2 linked regions of the Xenopus tropicalis genome follow. The protein of the gene in region 2 purifies or fractionates together with the protein of the main gene of each other region. This does not show direct contact. Links are inferred from orthologs where the notes say so. Each region holds a gene or a part of one and is shown on either strand. Other genes may lie near its edges.

What was found.
Region 1: the proteins of tradd (region 2) and birc2 purify together in Homo sapiens (affinity purification with western blotting; 3 studies listed by BioGRID and IntAct, with this or other methods). This does not show direct contact. The link is inferred for Xenopus tropicalis from reciprocal best matches to the Homo sapiens genes TRADD and BIRC2.

Annotation. Positions count from the first base shown.
Region 1 is NC_030678.2:162,214,879-162,222,274, reverse strand, and holds the start of birc2 (baculoviral IAP repeat-containing protein 2), read left to right. Parts: upstream 1-3,326; 5' UTR 3,327-3,350; intron 3,351-3,679; exon of another isoform or gene 3,680-3,784; intron 3,785-7,396. UniProt on the Homo sapiens protein: Multi-functional protein which regulates not only caspases and apoptosis, but also modulates inflammatory signaling and immunity, mitogenic kinase signaling, and cell proliferation, as well as cell invasion and metastasis.
Region 2 is NC_030680.2:52,149,286-52,156,686, reverse strand, and holds the start of tradd (tumor necrosis factor receptor type 1-associated DEATH domain protein), read left to right. Parts: upstream 1-3,218; 5' UTR 3,219-3,444; intron 3,445-3,448; exon of another isoform or gene 3,449-3,535; intron 3,536-3,555; exon of another isoform or gene 3,556-3,673; intron 3,674-4,828; 5' UTR 4,829-4,839; coding exon 4,840-4,969; intron 4,970-6,546; coding exon 6,547-6,827; intron 6,828-7,401. Other genes in the region: pdcd2l (programmed cell death protein 2-like), read right to left, coding at 1,350-1,454. UniProt on the Homo sapiens protein: Adapter molecule for TNFRSF1A/TNFR1 that specifically associates with the cytoplasmic domain of activated TNFRSF1A/TNFR1 mediating its interaction with FADD.

The DNA.
Region 1 (7,396 bases), on a different chromosome or scaffold from region 2:
CATATTTTTGTTTGGACTGGTAAATTACGCCTGGATCGGGGGTGTTTGGTGATGCGACAGCACGGGCTCCAGCTGCAGTGGATTCGACTCCCCTTTAATACTATACATTTCACCACTGAACGTAAATAGGTGAAATTTGACTGCCTGTTGTTGGCTCCTCCTCCTCCGGGGTGACCCCATGATTATGTTATTCAAGTTTGGGGGGTGTAGCTTCAAAGCTGTGAGAGTGGCAGCAGTTTGAAAATCTTCCCTGTCAAAGTTAATGGAAAATTGGGGTGTTTGGAGTGGCGCCACAAAAAGATGGGGGACGGGATCGCTTAGAAAAGCACAAGCAGCCTGCTCCGCTACAGGGCAAAGAAGTGTGGGGAGTTTGGGTGTTGTACCTATAAAACTGTAGGAGAAGTAGCGTTTAGAAAATGGGGGCGCTAAGAATAAGAACTAGAAAGGGAAGTTTGAGAACAAACTTCATGTTGGTTTGAAAAACGTGAAGTCACTGAATGAAATCTGATTGGTTGTTGTTGGCTCCACCCAGTTTTTCTAACCTTGAATCACAATTATATAGTAAAAACCACTGTGCAAAGTTTAGGGACCCTGGTTTTAATAGCGTCTGAATGGCAGCAACTTAAATTTCCCCACTGAAAGCCAATGAGTGACATCTGATTGGCAGTTGGTGGCTCCGCCCAATTCTTTTAACCTGAAACTGCAGTCCCCTAGTGACCCTGGTTTTAATACTGTGAGATTGGGAGCAGGTTGAATTTCCCCATCAATAGGTGAAATCTGATTGGCTGTTTGTGCCTGTCTCAGTTTAAAAAGTACACTGATAATATGTTTATCAAACAGAAAAAGAACAGAACATCCTGACTGCCATGTTTAAAAAGTACACTGATAATATGTTTATCAAACAGAAAAAGAACAGAACATTTTGATCGACTGTTCACAATACACCAGGGTTGCCAGGTTGGCAGTTTTCCTGCCAAATTGGGCTACTAATTTAAAGCCCTGGTGGGTTTCCAAAGTACAAATGTGCCATGGTACAGTTCTGGCCTATTTTTTGGAGCCTTGGCGGGTTTGGAGACTTTGCAAAGTTTTTTTCCCCTAACGTGCCTGTCCCACTGCATGCTGGGTAATGTAGTTGTATCTAACAATTAGCCTACAGCTAGGATTAATATAAAACTACAATACCCAGCATGCAATTGGACAGTATAGCCAGAGGCTCCATTTTATATTCCTTTTTGCTCTTTCAGGCTCAACCTGTCTGCCCTACAACCTGCTCTATAGGGAATGTGATTGTACTGTTACTTTCTACTGGGATGTGGGGGCAGTTCTGCAGTTGGTCCTTAAGCTATAACTCTCAGGATATCTTAGGGCACTGAAAGTTGTAGTTCAACACACCCATATGTATATCATTTTCCTACTTGTGTCTGTAAGTTACCTTCCCATATAGATTGTAAGTTCTATGGGGCAGGGACCTTCGTCTTGTGTCTTCGTCCTCTTCTGCCGCGACTAATCTCCCCGAGTTGCCATCAGTTGCTCATCCAATTTCGGCAAATCGACGAAAATGCCTGCACAGCGTGTGCCATCCCACCGGAGACTTACATTGTTGCCAGTGGGATGGCAATTCGGGGAGATTAGTCGCCCGCAAACAGGGAGATTTGTTGCGGGCGACTAATCTCCCTGTGTGCCAGAGCCCTAAGTAGCACTTTATAAATAAAGATATACATACATACATACATGTCTGGGGTTAATGCAACATTCTGAATCCATTTCTGTAGTGACTTTCCCGCTGGACTGGGCACAGAGGGAATTATCAGCCATCCCAGTAACTGGAGAGGGGGGGGGGCACGGGGTATGGGTAGTGATTATAGGCTTATAAAGGCAGGTTTTCCCATATCTACTTTTATTTTTTTTTAAGAATTATTTTCATTGCGCATATTTGGCTATTTTATATAGATTGTAAGCTCTACGGGGCAGGGACCTCCATCCTTTTTTGTCTTTGACTCTTAACTTATTGCAGCTGTATTTATCTTGTATTTATTTGTATTTATTGTTGTACTTTGTATTTATCTATTATTATCTTAATAACCCCGTTTGTATTATTCTACTGTACAGCTCTGCGTACATAAGTAGCGCTTTATAAATTAAGATATACATACATACATTTTTGGGCTACTTTCAAAGTGGCTTTTGGCTAGTTTTGGGCTAGTTTTAGAACTGACTTTGGCTAGTTTGGAAAAATCTGGCTACCCTGCAGTACAGCCTTTCTTTTTCTCCCTCATAAATTTAAATGGAGTACTAATTGTAAGCTCTTTTGGGCAGGGCTCTCTTCCCCTCCTGTATCGGTTATTGATTGCTTTATATGTTACTCTGTATGCCCAATGTATGAAATGCAGTAATTCCTTGTAGAGTGTAAGCTCTTTTGGGCAGGGCTCTCTTCACCTCTTGTATCGGTTATTGATTGCTTTATATGTTACTCTGTATGCCCAATGTATGAAATGCAGTAATTCCTTGTAGAGTGTAAGCTCTTTTGGGCAGGGCTCTCTTCCCCTCTTGTATCGGTTACTGATTGCTTTATATGTTACTCTGTATGTCAATGTATGAAATGCAGTAATTCCTTGTAGAGTGTAAGCTCTTTGGGCAGGGCTCCCTTCCCTCCTGTTATCGGTTAACTGATTGCTTTATATGTTACTCTTGTATGTCCAATGTAATGAAATGCAGTAATTCCTTGTAGAGTGTAAGCTCTTTTGGGCAGGGCTCCCTTTCCCCTCTGTATCGGTACTGATTGCTTTATAATGTTACTTCTGTATGGCCCAACATGTATGAAATGCAGTAATTCCTTGTAGAGTGAAGCTCTTTTGGGGAGAGGCTCTCTTCCCCTGACCTGGTATCCGGTTACTGATTGCTTTATATGTTACTCTGTATGTCCAATGTATGAAACCCACTTATTGTACAGCGCTGCGGGATATGTTGGCGCTTTATAAATAAATGTTAATAATAATAATAATCAGCCATTCTGGTAAATAATTACATAGTTTTTCCCCTGTGTAAATCCCAGCTTGCACACGCCATGAGTTAGGAAACTCCCCGGACTGGAATGAAAGCCAAAGAATGACACTAGTTCCACAAATGACAGCTTCCCACGCTTGGAAAGTCCCCGGATAGATTACAATGAATAACCTTTATCATACGAGAAACGAATCGTCATGAATGTATAAAGAAATTCATGCATAGGATATTCTAAATAAATTGGTCAAAACTATTTTTAATTCGTATTAAACATTACCACGTCATATACAATTACACGTACTGCGCAAGCGCAGATCTAGTTTAGCCGGCGCCATGGTACAGTCGAGGTAAGGGAGCGCTGCGGCTGTGTTTCTCTGTGTAGCTTGTGATTCCCGCGTTTTATATCGCTACGGTGGATTTTTATTGACGATTAAGCGGAAGAATGCGGCGGTGGCAGGAAAACGAGAAAAAAAAATCGGACGCAAAGGCATAGAGAGAAAATGGTCGCGGCGTTCCCTGTTGGAGTAAGCTTACTTTAGGGAAGCGATACCAGTTGTGCTCCGCAACCGGGCATACCCGGGTGCAAGTAATTTCTTTGGGCACAGGTTTAAATGGACAGGACGTATTGGCATGCGTCACGCCCCGCCCCCGCTCACAAGGTTTTCTATAAATTGTTTGTGCGACACAGTTTCTCCCTCAGAAAGTAAGAGAGCTCTGTCTCCAGCCCGTCGCCCTCCCTCCCATCAGCACAGGGTGTGGGCGCTGCTGAAATAGTTGTTACGTAAGTAATTTCCTTGCTCCCTTCTGTGATTGGGCAGCTTGCGGGTTCCCCGCCCCTTCTGTGATAGGCAGCTTGCGGTTTTCCCCGCCCCCTTCTGTGATAGGCAGTTATGAACAATGCAGCCTGAGTCTATTGGCGGATTGGTTGTGGGAGCGATGTCAATCTTTTTTTCGCTTGTAATGGCTTTTGCTGTACCGGACGATGTTACGAAGTTACGATGGAGGCTGCTAATGAAAGAATTGTTAGCATGATATAACCGTGTGGCATTGTTTGTACAGTAGCTTCTAGCGATACGTGGCAGCTTGGCCCCTGCTCCACATGAAGGCTGTGTGTAGCGACCCCCTTGCCTCTGTGTGTGGCTGCCCCAAGGGTGACTAAACGGAATGTCTAGTTATTTTAACTACTCTTTGTGCTTTTTCTTTTTTTAACCAATAGATATTTTTGTAATACAGCTCTCTGGTTTAAAAAGAATGCTTGTTGCTATGGCTTTGTTAGGTTGGCAACCAGACTATGGTACTTATGAGGGAATAAAGGCAGAAGGTGCTAAAGAAAATCTAGCCTTGGGATTGATCTCCTTTTCTACCAATAAAAGAGGAATAATTGGAAGTTGTCTCACAGTATGGATAATACCAAATGGATTAATGCTATAATGTAATTGTATAGCTTATTTCCCCTTTAAACATCCAGCTCAGCTCATGTTCCTGAATGGTACCTCACAAGCAGTCATCTAATGGATTTCTGTCACCATAAGATCATACAAATGGTTACTTGTAATAGAATGACCTATTAGCAGCTTTTTTTTTTAATTATTTGCCATTCTTTTTCTGCTTATTTCAGGAAAGCCAAAGAACATACGCTCTGTGAGGCTAAAGTTCTAAGGTTGCTTTGTATTATACTTTTTTAAATTCAGCCCCTGTCCTATTAATCTTCCAGTCTGGCTTTCAAACCACTGCCTGGTTGCTAGGCTAAACTGAAACACTAGCTGGTTTCTAAAGTAAATTGGAACACTTACTGCTCAGCACCCAGATGGCTGCCTCAATTCTACACTGAAAAAAAACAAAATGAAGCCTAATTGCAAATTGTTTCTAAATACCACTGTCTACATCTAAAGCTGGCCATACACGCACCGATAATATCGTATGAAACCTTGTTTCGTACGATATTCGGTGCGTGTATGGCATGTTGGCGAGCTGAATGGTGTGTGGCGGATCTGGCGATGTTTCGTGCGACCGATGGTTGCATGAAAGATCGTCAGATCGCCACGTGTGTGGCCACCTTAAAGGAACAGTAACACCAAAAAATTTATATATTTTAAAGAAATTAAACTATAATGTACTGCTGCCCTGCACTGGTAAAAGTTTTATGTTTGCTTCAGAAACATTACTAGAGTTTATATAAACCCTGGTGTGTAGCCATGGGGGCAGCCATTCAAAAGAAGAAAAGGCACAGGTTATACAGCAGCTAACAGATAAACCCTGTAGAATACAATGGTGTCTTATCTGTTATCTGCTATGTAACCTGTGCCTTTTTTCCAGCTTGAATGCTGCCCCCATGGCTACACAGCAGCTTATTTATATAAACTATAGTAGTGTTCCTGAAGCAAACACACCAGTTTTACCAGTGCAGGGCCACAGCACATTATATTTCCATTACTTTAAAACACTTTTATTTTTTGGTGTTACTGTTCCTTTAAGGGTGAAGACACACAGAGCTACTAGAAGCAGCTACTTGTCAGACAATGCTGATCATTTACTGATAATTGTCTTTTTTTTAAAAGGTGTTTATTTTTCATTTTAAGAACAATACAACATATACAGACATTAGCTACAAACAATGTAGCTGTTAACTTTTGCAGTCAAATTAGCAAGGTACAGTACAAAGAATTGTTGTTGTTTTATTGTTTCAGCTGTTATAGGATCATATACATTTACCATAGCTTACTATCGGTCTGGATTCAATCATTTCTGTTAGATGGTAGTTATGTTTTAGATTGCGGGTCATCGCTACCCATTCTGCTATTGTGGGTGCAATAGGACTCATCCATTTCATGATAAGTAATTTTTTTGCGTAGAACAGTGTTGCCCTCATTAAGTTTCTGGGTTGATTTTGTGGAACTAGCTCGTCTATCAGACCTAGGAGGCATACTTCTGGGGTCCTGACTCTAGGTAGGATTAGTTGTTCGTTGAGATATTGTATGATTCCAGACCAGTAGTTAGCTATGTGGATGCAGTCCCATACCATATGGATAAATCCTGCGTTGACATTGTGACATTTAGGACATTCTGCATTTGGTGATCTGCCCATAGCTTTAAGTCTGGTTGGGGTGATATATACTTGGTGGTAGAATTTGAATTGTATAACTCTATCTCTAGTGGCTATGAGAAAATCGTATATGTGGTCCGTTGCTTCTTCCCATTGCTCCTCGTTTAGTTGTGGGAGTATCTGGTTCCATTTCATTTTAGCTTTATCAAATGGGGAGGGTGTTACTTTCAGTATAACTTTGTACAGTTGGGAGAGGAGTTTCTTCCCTCCCGGATCCCAGAGTCTTATTTCCCATGGGGTTGAGCTCGTGTCAATTGTTAGTGAACCAAATTGCGCTTTGAATACGTGCCTTAATTGAAGGTATCTATAAAACTGCAAGTTTGGCTTCTCCAATTTCTCTTTGAGTATATTGAATTGGACAAAGATACCATTAATTAGCACATCCGAGAGCCATTTTACCCCATTGGCTGGCCAGTATTGGAAATCAGGCAATTCCTTAAAGTGTTGTAAGTTAGTATTATTCCATAGTGGCATTTGTAGTGAATGACCCTTGATGTTTACTCTGTTTTGCTTTATCAATTTAGCCCATGCTGTCATTGGGGTAGTAAGTACTTCTGGAAGAGGTATTATGTCCCTCTTTTTCCTATACGGTGCATTACGGAGTGCTTCCAATGAACCAATTAGGTTCCCATGTAATGCTGTGAGTGGGTTGTCAGGATCTGGGTTGAACTCTGATAATTGTCTTTACGTGAGTTTTAGCAGAGGCAATTCTCAGTATTGTCTGTGGCAGGGGATTTTCTGGAGTTTAGTAGCCTTGAAAAAGTAGCTGCTACTAGTAGCCCAGTGTGTGTTCACCCTAAAGGTGGCCATACACGGACCGATTTTTTACTTACAAACGACCGATTCGCGAACGATCCGATGCTATCGTTAAGTTATCGTATAGTTGGTGGTGTACGAACGATCGTCGGCCCACTAAACGAGCCGACATTATCGTCCCCAAAATCGATCGGCCAGGTTTAAAAATTTTGGTCGTTTAACGATAAAATCTGCCAGTTGGTGTGAGTGTCAGACATTTGTCTTTCAACGATTGTTCTCTGCGCATGTCACGATTGCCAGCAGCGGAAGTCAACGACATTCGATCGTACGTAGATGTACGATCGTAGGTATTTTACGATAATGATGCGACAAAATCTTTCCCGAATTATCGTTGCCCGTGGATGGCATATCGTATGGGAACTCGATCGCCATACGATCGTTTGTCGATATAATCGTTCATCGCACAACGAGCGAAATCGCCTCGTGTATGTTTATAAAACCTGAGCCATTTCTACGGGCAGAGTATGGAACAGA
Region 2 (7,401 bases):
ATTTTCACATACAGATACGCAAATCTTATCACAAAGAAATGCTCAGAAAGTAATTTGCAGGTAATCTAGCAATATGAACTATAAAGAATAAGAATATCCTTTTAAACTTAAATGTCCTTTTATTTTCCCGGTACGATCCCACAATTAAATCCACTACATCAAGAAATGAACAGAATAAACCATTTCCATACAAGTTAAAGGACAAGCAAATGTGATATGTGTGTCACTGAATATAACTGATAAGCTTATATTGGGCTGCAATACTATTCCTGCCACATTGTGCTGCCAGCTGTGCCGAAGTCCTTGCAATCCTAGCACATGTGCAGTGCAGTAAGATTTGGACTTTAAAATCCAATTTTACTCTACTGAGCATGCTCACTATCCGGACAGTGCATATATTTTTAAAATTTCGGAAATGATGGCAGGCTGGGGCAGCAGGATTAGTACACAATTCAGTGGACAGGAGAGCCAGCCCAGGTCTAACATTAGCACTTTTATTTACTAGAGGGTGCCTAAAACATTGGCACCCCCTCTAGTGAATATCACTATAATTGTCCTTTATCCAAATACAGTTATGGGATTACCATTATCCAGAAGGATCTGAATTACAGGAAGGCCATCTCCCACAGACTCCATTTTAATCAAATAATTTAATCAAATTTATTTGAATAATAATTCAAATTAATCCCTATTGGAGGCAAAACAATACTATTGGGTTTAATTCGTGTTTAAATTATTTTTTTAGTAGATTTAAGGTATGAAGAGCCAAATTACAGAAAGATCTTTAATCCAGAAAACTATACCTATTCAAACAAATTGCAGCATTGCAATTTAATGTAAAACCCAGTGCATCCGCTGCCCACAGCACTACTAGCAGCATGGTTTTAATAGACATAATCTCTTTAAATTAATACATCTGCCTGGTGTGCTATCCTCTCATCTTTGGGGCAAAGGGTGGCTTGATCAATTATACAGTAATTAAAAATGAGAGGGTAGTCTCTGCTTCTGAAGAAGACCTTATACCCCAACAAGGGAGCTGGTAAAAAGAATAACTGGACATTCAGTATAACCAAAAATTTTAAGATACCAGAAAGCCATAGGAAGGATGTTTCCCTAATACTGACAGTGTTGCAATAACCATATACTGTACATGTTGTCCTGCAAATTACAATTATTTTCTTTTGCAGCTCTCTTTTTCTGGAGGTCCAGCTGTCTTTCTAAGCTTAACTCTTTATATCTGAGACAAATTGGCTTCTTACACCCAGTTAGCATTATGTCATTAAAGCACATTGTGGTTTTTGCATACAACACTATGTTGACACACGTATTTCTTTTCTCCTTCTACTCACAGGCAGACCACCTATTTTGCTCACATCCCATGAAGAGGCATCACTTTCTTGCAAAGCATCCTTAAACCCAAGAAGAACACGTGCAGATGGAGGAGCCTGTGCCATATCATTAATGTGGTGCTTCTAGTCCAATACTATTCACAAACCTGCAGGTGGAACCTAAAGAAAAACAGCACAATTGGGCCTCGGATTAAAAGAAATGCCTACATTTTACCATCATTACAACATACTTAAATTTTAAAACACACCAGATACCAGATCACTTCAAAATTCTAATAAATGCTTGTTGCAGGCATTTATTAGAATTTTCAAGTGATCTATTATCCTTACGGGGGCGATTCTGCACCCTTGGCCACCCTAAAGGTGCCCATACACTATAACATCCGCTCGCTTGGCGATGTCGCCAAGCGAGCGGATCTTCACGGATATCGGGTAGCAAGGGACTTGAAAAAAAAATAATCCGATCGTTTGGCCCTGGGGCCAAACGATCGGATTACATTAGATCTTATGGGGCAGTCGGTTTGGGGACCGCATCAACGAGCCGATGCGGTCCCCGATCCGACCGGATTTTCTAACCTGGCCGATCAAGATCTGGCCAGATATCGGTCGGCCAGGCAGCTCTGTTCTGCCCATACACGGGCCGATTAGCTGCCGAATCGGTCCAAGGGACCGATATCGGCAGCTATAGTCGGCCCGTGTATGGGCACCGGGGCTTCCTGATGACACCCCGTCACTACAATAGAACGTTCTGCACTAGAAGAGCTAAACCGCTCTTCTTCCACCGCTCACCTATAGAGGTAATGGCGGAACCACGTTGGCACTGGCTTAACACAGGGTTAAGCCATGAGAGATTCCTTCTGACAGTGGGAACACGGAAATGGCTATAAGCAGTCAATTTATAGGGCCTGTGGGTAAATCTGCACACACAGAATTTACTCCTTAGCACACATATTGGCGCATCATACACAACTGTGAAGAATGCAACTTTGCGCACTGCAATCTGCAAAAAGTAGAGTAAAACATTACTGGTGATGTTGCTTTTCACAGACAATCAGATACTTTGCTTCGGTTTTCTAACTGTTGAAATCTAATTGCTGATTGGGCAACATCACTGGTAATGATTCACTCCACTTTTTACACAGCACGATAAATATACCCCTAAGTTTTGAGCTTACTGTCTGACTTCGAAACAGTTTCCCTGTAGCCTAGGCTGCCCACTACCATAACCTGAGGAATTTGCTTGTCATGTCATTGGACCAGCGGGCACTTTTACAAGCTGTCAAAATGAACCAACTCAGAAAAAGACAAGAATAGACAACTCAAGACAGGGGGTCACTAACAGAAGAAGAAAACGGCCCCCAAAGTCTCTTACTGCAGTATTTCACTGGTAACCAGTCAATACTAGCATGATGTCAAGTTGTCAGGGAACAGCGAATCTATGCCAGGGTGCCCTTATCCCTGACAATTGGGCATCATGCGAACAGCGGACTGTCATGCTGTACTAGATAGGAGACACTTACGGGGAAACACATATTTTTGAACAAGATTTAAAACCACTTTTCAGCGGTGGCGGAAGCTATAGCCATATACACTACACGCACTACCTAACATTTCCCAGCATCCTAACTAGTTACCTTTTTTTTTTTTTTTTTTTAATTTCCTGCACGGGGTAGTCAGACGAGTTCCTCCCCAAACACGTGTTCTCTAGAGCCGGCCATACTAAGAGAAGTGTATGCAACCTAGCCGACTCCTGATTGGCTAAGTTCCGACCAAGCGCCACACAGCTGATCATTTTATTGACAGCTGCTCGACCAATCAGCAAAGGGCCATTGTTTGGCAAGCGTGTGTGATAAATGGGTTTAAACGCAGCTATTCAAAACTGGGTCAGGTTGGGAGTGTAATTAACATTTTTTGCTGCTGATGCTTGAACTGAAAGGCATATCTTGTAGCAAGAGTACCGTGTCGTAGAACGTTTAGGTCCTTCACTTCCTGCCCTAGTCCATGGTAGTGCATGGGTTAAAGGGGCGGCCGCGCTAGGTGTGCGAGAATTGCGCAGTGCCGGAAGCACTGTGGCAGTGCCAGGAACTGCTGTCAGGTACATTTTTCTTGCATTTTTCAGGGGGGCGTACAGTATCGTACCGCAGATTGTTAAGTGTCACAGTTTCTAAAACTTTCTTCTCGCCGGGGTAAGAGGTACCTGCTGGCTGTCATTCTGTTTATGTGGTGCTCGATTGAGCTGACCGCTTATAAAACTACAGTCATTCTAACTGGGTTTCGGTGAAATGATTCTGAACTGCCGGAAGACGTGTAGTACAGCAGTCAAAGTAATGCCGAGCTTTGCAATAATATTAATCTAGATCGGGCTAGTCTAAGTTGTTTTCTATTTAGAGGGCCATATATTGTGTATGGCACATATTTGTGGGAAGTAGTGTAAGAAAGAAAGGACCTGGTAGTCATAAAATGCCTTTTGATGCCTATAGATTCAATTCCTAGGCTCACAGTTGGGCAGCCCTGCTTTGGATTACTACTAGTTCCTACAAATTATACAGATTATTCAAAAATACTGTCAGACCAAGGATGACATTATGCCAGTTGTCTTGTTGCCTGTTTTTGTTTTTATCACTTTTTCTAAATTTAGTTTTTGGCTTTAGGGATTTTATTTTACAGTAATTTAAGTAGTATGCCCTCCAGTGTACATGAAGTGCTTCAACTGAGGGTCTGTAATGGCACATGGGTATTTTTATGAAATGGGATCTACCATTTTAAAGGAGAAGGTATAAATGTTTTCAGTAGCACTTCAGTCAAGTGTTTTTCTTCACTGTGGATCCCGGTGAGTGAGTGTTAGAGGGCATAACCAGATACATTTTTATCAATTGAATATAGCCTACCAGATCCAAAAGTAGACTCTGTTTTTGGGGAATCTATGGTATAACGGTGTCAGTATTAGAATTTATGAACACCACCAGGTATGTATGTATTTATGTATGTATATCTTTATTTATAAAGCGCTATGGTATATGAAGTTATCAGATATCTGCATAGTGCAAGGGATTTATCTGCTTGGGGGGTCATAAAGAAACAGAGCCAATTTACCTTTATTCATCTTCAAACCATACAAGTAGCCAAACTTTTTACTTATTGTATGATCAACTTACTTGTCAGCAACACAAACTTTTTACCACTTTTAAAAAACAGATCTAGTGCTGCAGGCAAAGGGTGGTAGGTAGTACTATTCAGGACCTCCCCTACATCCACAATATGCCCACCTCCCGTGTGTATTCCTAGTTTTTCTACGTCTCAAGTCATTGTTGGCGTCCAAGTGCTCCTTGTGTAAGCAGGAAAAGCTTGAAATTGTTTGTTTGTCATTGTTTCCAGATACATATACAACCAAACTGTATTATGCATCATGATCATATTGCATTAGTTGTCGTGATAAGGATTATATTATAAAAAAAAAAAACATAATACATGTCTTTCAGGACCTAGAGATATGGCAGCTGGATCTAGTATGTGGGTTGGGAGTGTGTACCTCTATATAAAGTCAGATGAGGTTTCCCTTCCCAGAAAATATACAGACCAAAAGGCACTGATCTATGAAGCACTTAGGAGTGCAATATCAGGCAAGTATAACAGTGTGTTTGAAAAGTGAAAGTCATGAAAATGTATTTTCTAATGTACCTGATTCAAACTTTCAAATCTGTCTTTATAGTTTCCTTTTCCTCAAGACTGTAAGAGTCTTACTGTTTAACCAACTGGAATCTTTACTTTTTGATCTGTTTTACATATTTATGTTATTATGAAGGTGTGGATCTTGTCTTTCTTTTTGGATTTCTATTTGCTATTACTGCCTTTTGAATACACACAACCAACACTCTGCACACCCTTTAAATATAATACATAGGAGGTGGTGAGATTATTACAAGCAGTTTTTATTGAAGGTTTAAAAGGATACAATAGTGCAGTATTAATCTCCAATGGCAAAAAAATCCAACAGTGCAAAGTGTTAATACACACCATCAGTAGGAGTTCAATGAAAAGAAAGCGGTTACCTTTGGATAAAGTGAGAATCACCCCAGCATTTCAGCACAAGCCTTTGTCTAGGGGAATTGTATTGGTGCAGCACATCAGAAGGGTATATATACCACAATATTTTAAAGAAAATTCTTTCCAAATGCCAATTCCTGCGTGCTTGCATCATGTGACTTTGCTTAAGCCGACACGTTAGCAGAAGTTACTCGGCTCCTGTGCATAAACATTAACATCACTTCACTGAAAACATGGCAGTTACCCTCCTGTGTGTGGAATTTACAATGCATATTGCTCACTGCTTGTACACAACCCAGGTTACCATGGCAGCTTCACATATAACCAGAATTCACTATCTTACTTACTGCAACAGGTGGTTTCCAAATCTTATAAAAGTAAACAACCATGGCTACCCTGGGTTTGTTATGAGGTTGACAGACAGATTTTACCCATATCACTCATGCCACTTCTAAGCCAAATCAAATACATATATTCAAATGGTGAATTATAAAGTGTATACATTCATATTCAAAAAAATCTATTCAAAGTGCTATCTTAACTTAATAAAAATGCATCTTAATCTAAACAAAGTGTATCTTAACTTAGTAACAATACATCCAAGGTACAACAACTTCATCTTCAGGGTGTATTATCATAAACTGCATATCTAAGTGCCATCCATAATTCAGATGTAGCCAGTATATCCCAACCACATAAAGTGCTATTATTGTATGTTCAGAGGATACCTTTATATATTGCGACCAAAACAATATATAAAGGTATCCTCTGTCTGGGGCGCAAACACACCAATGCAATAATACTTCAGAAATTAGCACTTATATGGTTTTACCCCAGACTAAAGTTACCAGTCAATAGTTTTCCAAGGAGTACATTACACTGAAGTTTTATCCCTTTTCAGAATTTCCATTTATAAGGTCCCCTTTGCAGAATAATTTCTTACAACACCTATTTACCTCAATACATTGCCTTTGGCCTGTCTGGATCCTCTTCCATTGCTTTCTCTCTATTAAACTGGAAGTCTGCAACCATGGCAACATTACCTTGGCCCACTGTCCTGTTCAGCTTTCCTCTTTAAATTTCACCAATTCCTGGCACACTCAGACCTGTGTGTTTGCTTTAGAGCTTGACTTTCTGCCTCATATCTAAACAGAATCTACCGGAGGCTGCAGAGATTCCATTGAAATCCTTAAGATTCATTCTAGTGACCAGCAGCTTATCCTGTACCTAAAATTCTGCGGCCTGGAACCATGCCAGATATTTCTGAAGGATTATAAGGAACGCAAGCTGCAGATGCAGATCCAGAACAAATTGGAGAATTGTTTTTCTGTGGCACAGCTTCCTATTTTTACAGAACTCAAAATTGATACAGGAGAAATGGACAGTTTACTGGAGAAGGAAGAGCAGTGCCTTAAATATATTAGCCAAATGAAGGTAATATCTAGTCAGAGGCAGTTTTGCCACGTGCTACACCATGCCAATATATCTGTTTCAATGACTGGAGGTGTAATGGAGTTATATAATCCATATTCAATTAAATTGATTAAATGTAAACAGTTTATAATTAATATGTTCCAAAAAAGAAGTATATGCTATAGAGCTTTGTGTGTGGCGCATGTTTTTCCTTGGAAATATATATTTTCTATTTTTTTTCCATATATTTGGGCTTATGTCATAGGACAGGTAAAGGACCTGTTTTTCAGAATGGTCTGGACCTGGGGTTTTCCGCATAATGGATCTTTCTGTAATTTTGTTCTTTAAGTCTTCTAAAAAAATAACTAAACCCAATAGGACTGTTTTGCCTCAATTAGGATTATGTATAACTTAGTTGGGATCACATATAATGTACTGTTAACACAGAAATGTGAATTATTTGCTAAGATGAGTTCTTTCTGTAATTTGGAGCTTTCTGAATAACTGATCTCATACCAGTAAGTATAGGAGGGCCCAAGAAGAGTTCTTTTTTGGAAATTTTTAACCGTGTCATTGCAAATAAGGTAAAAATATT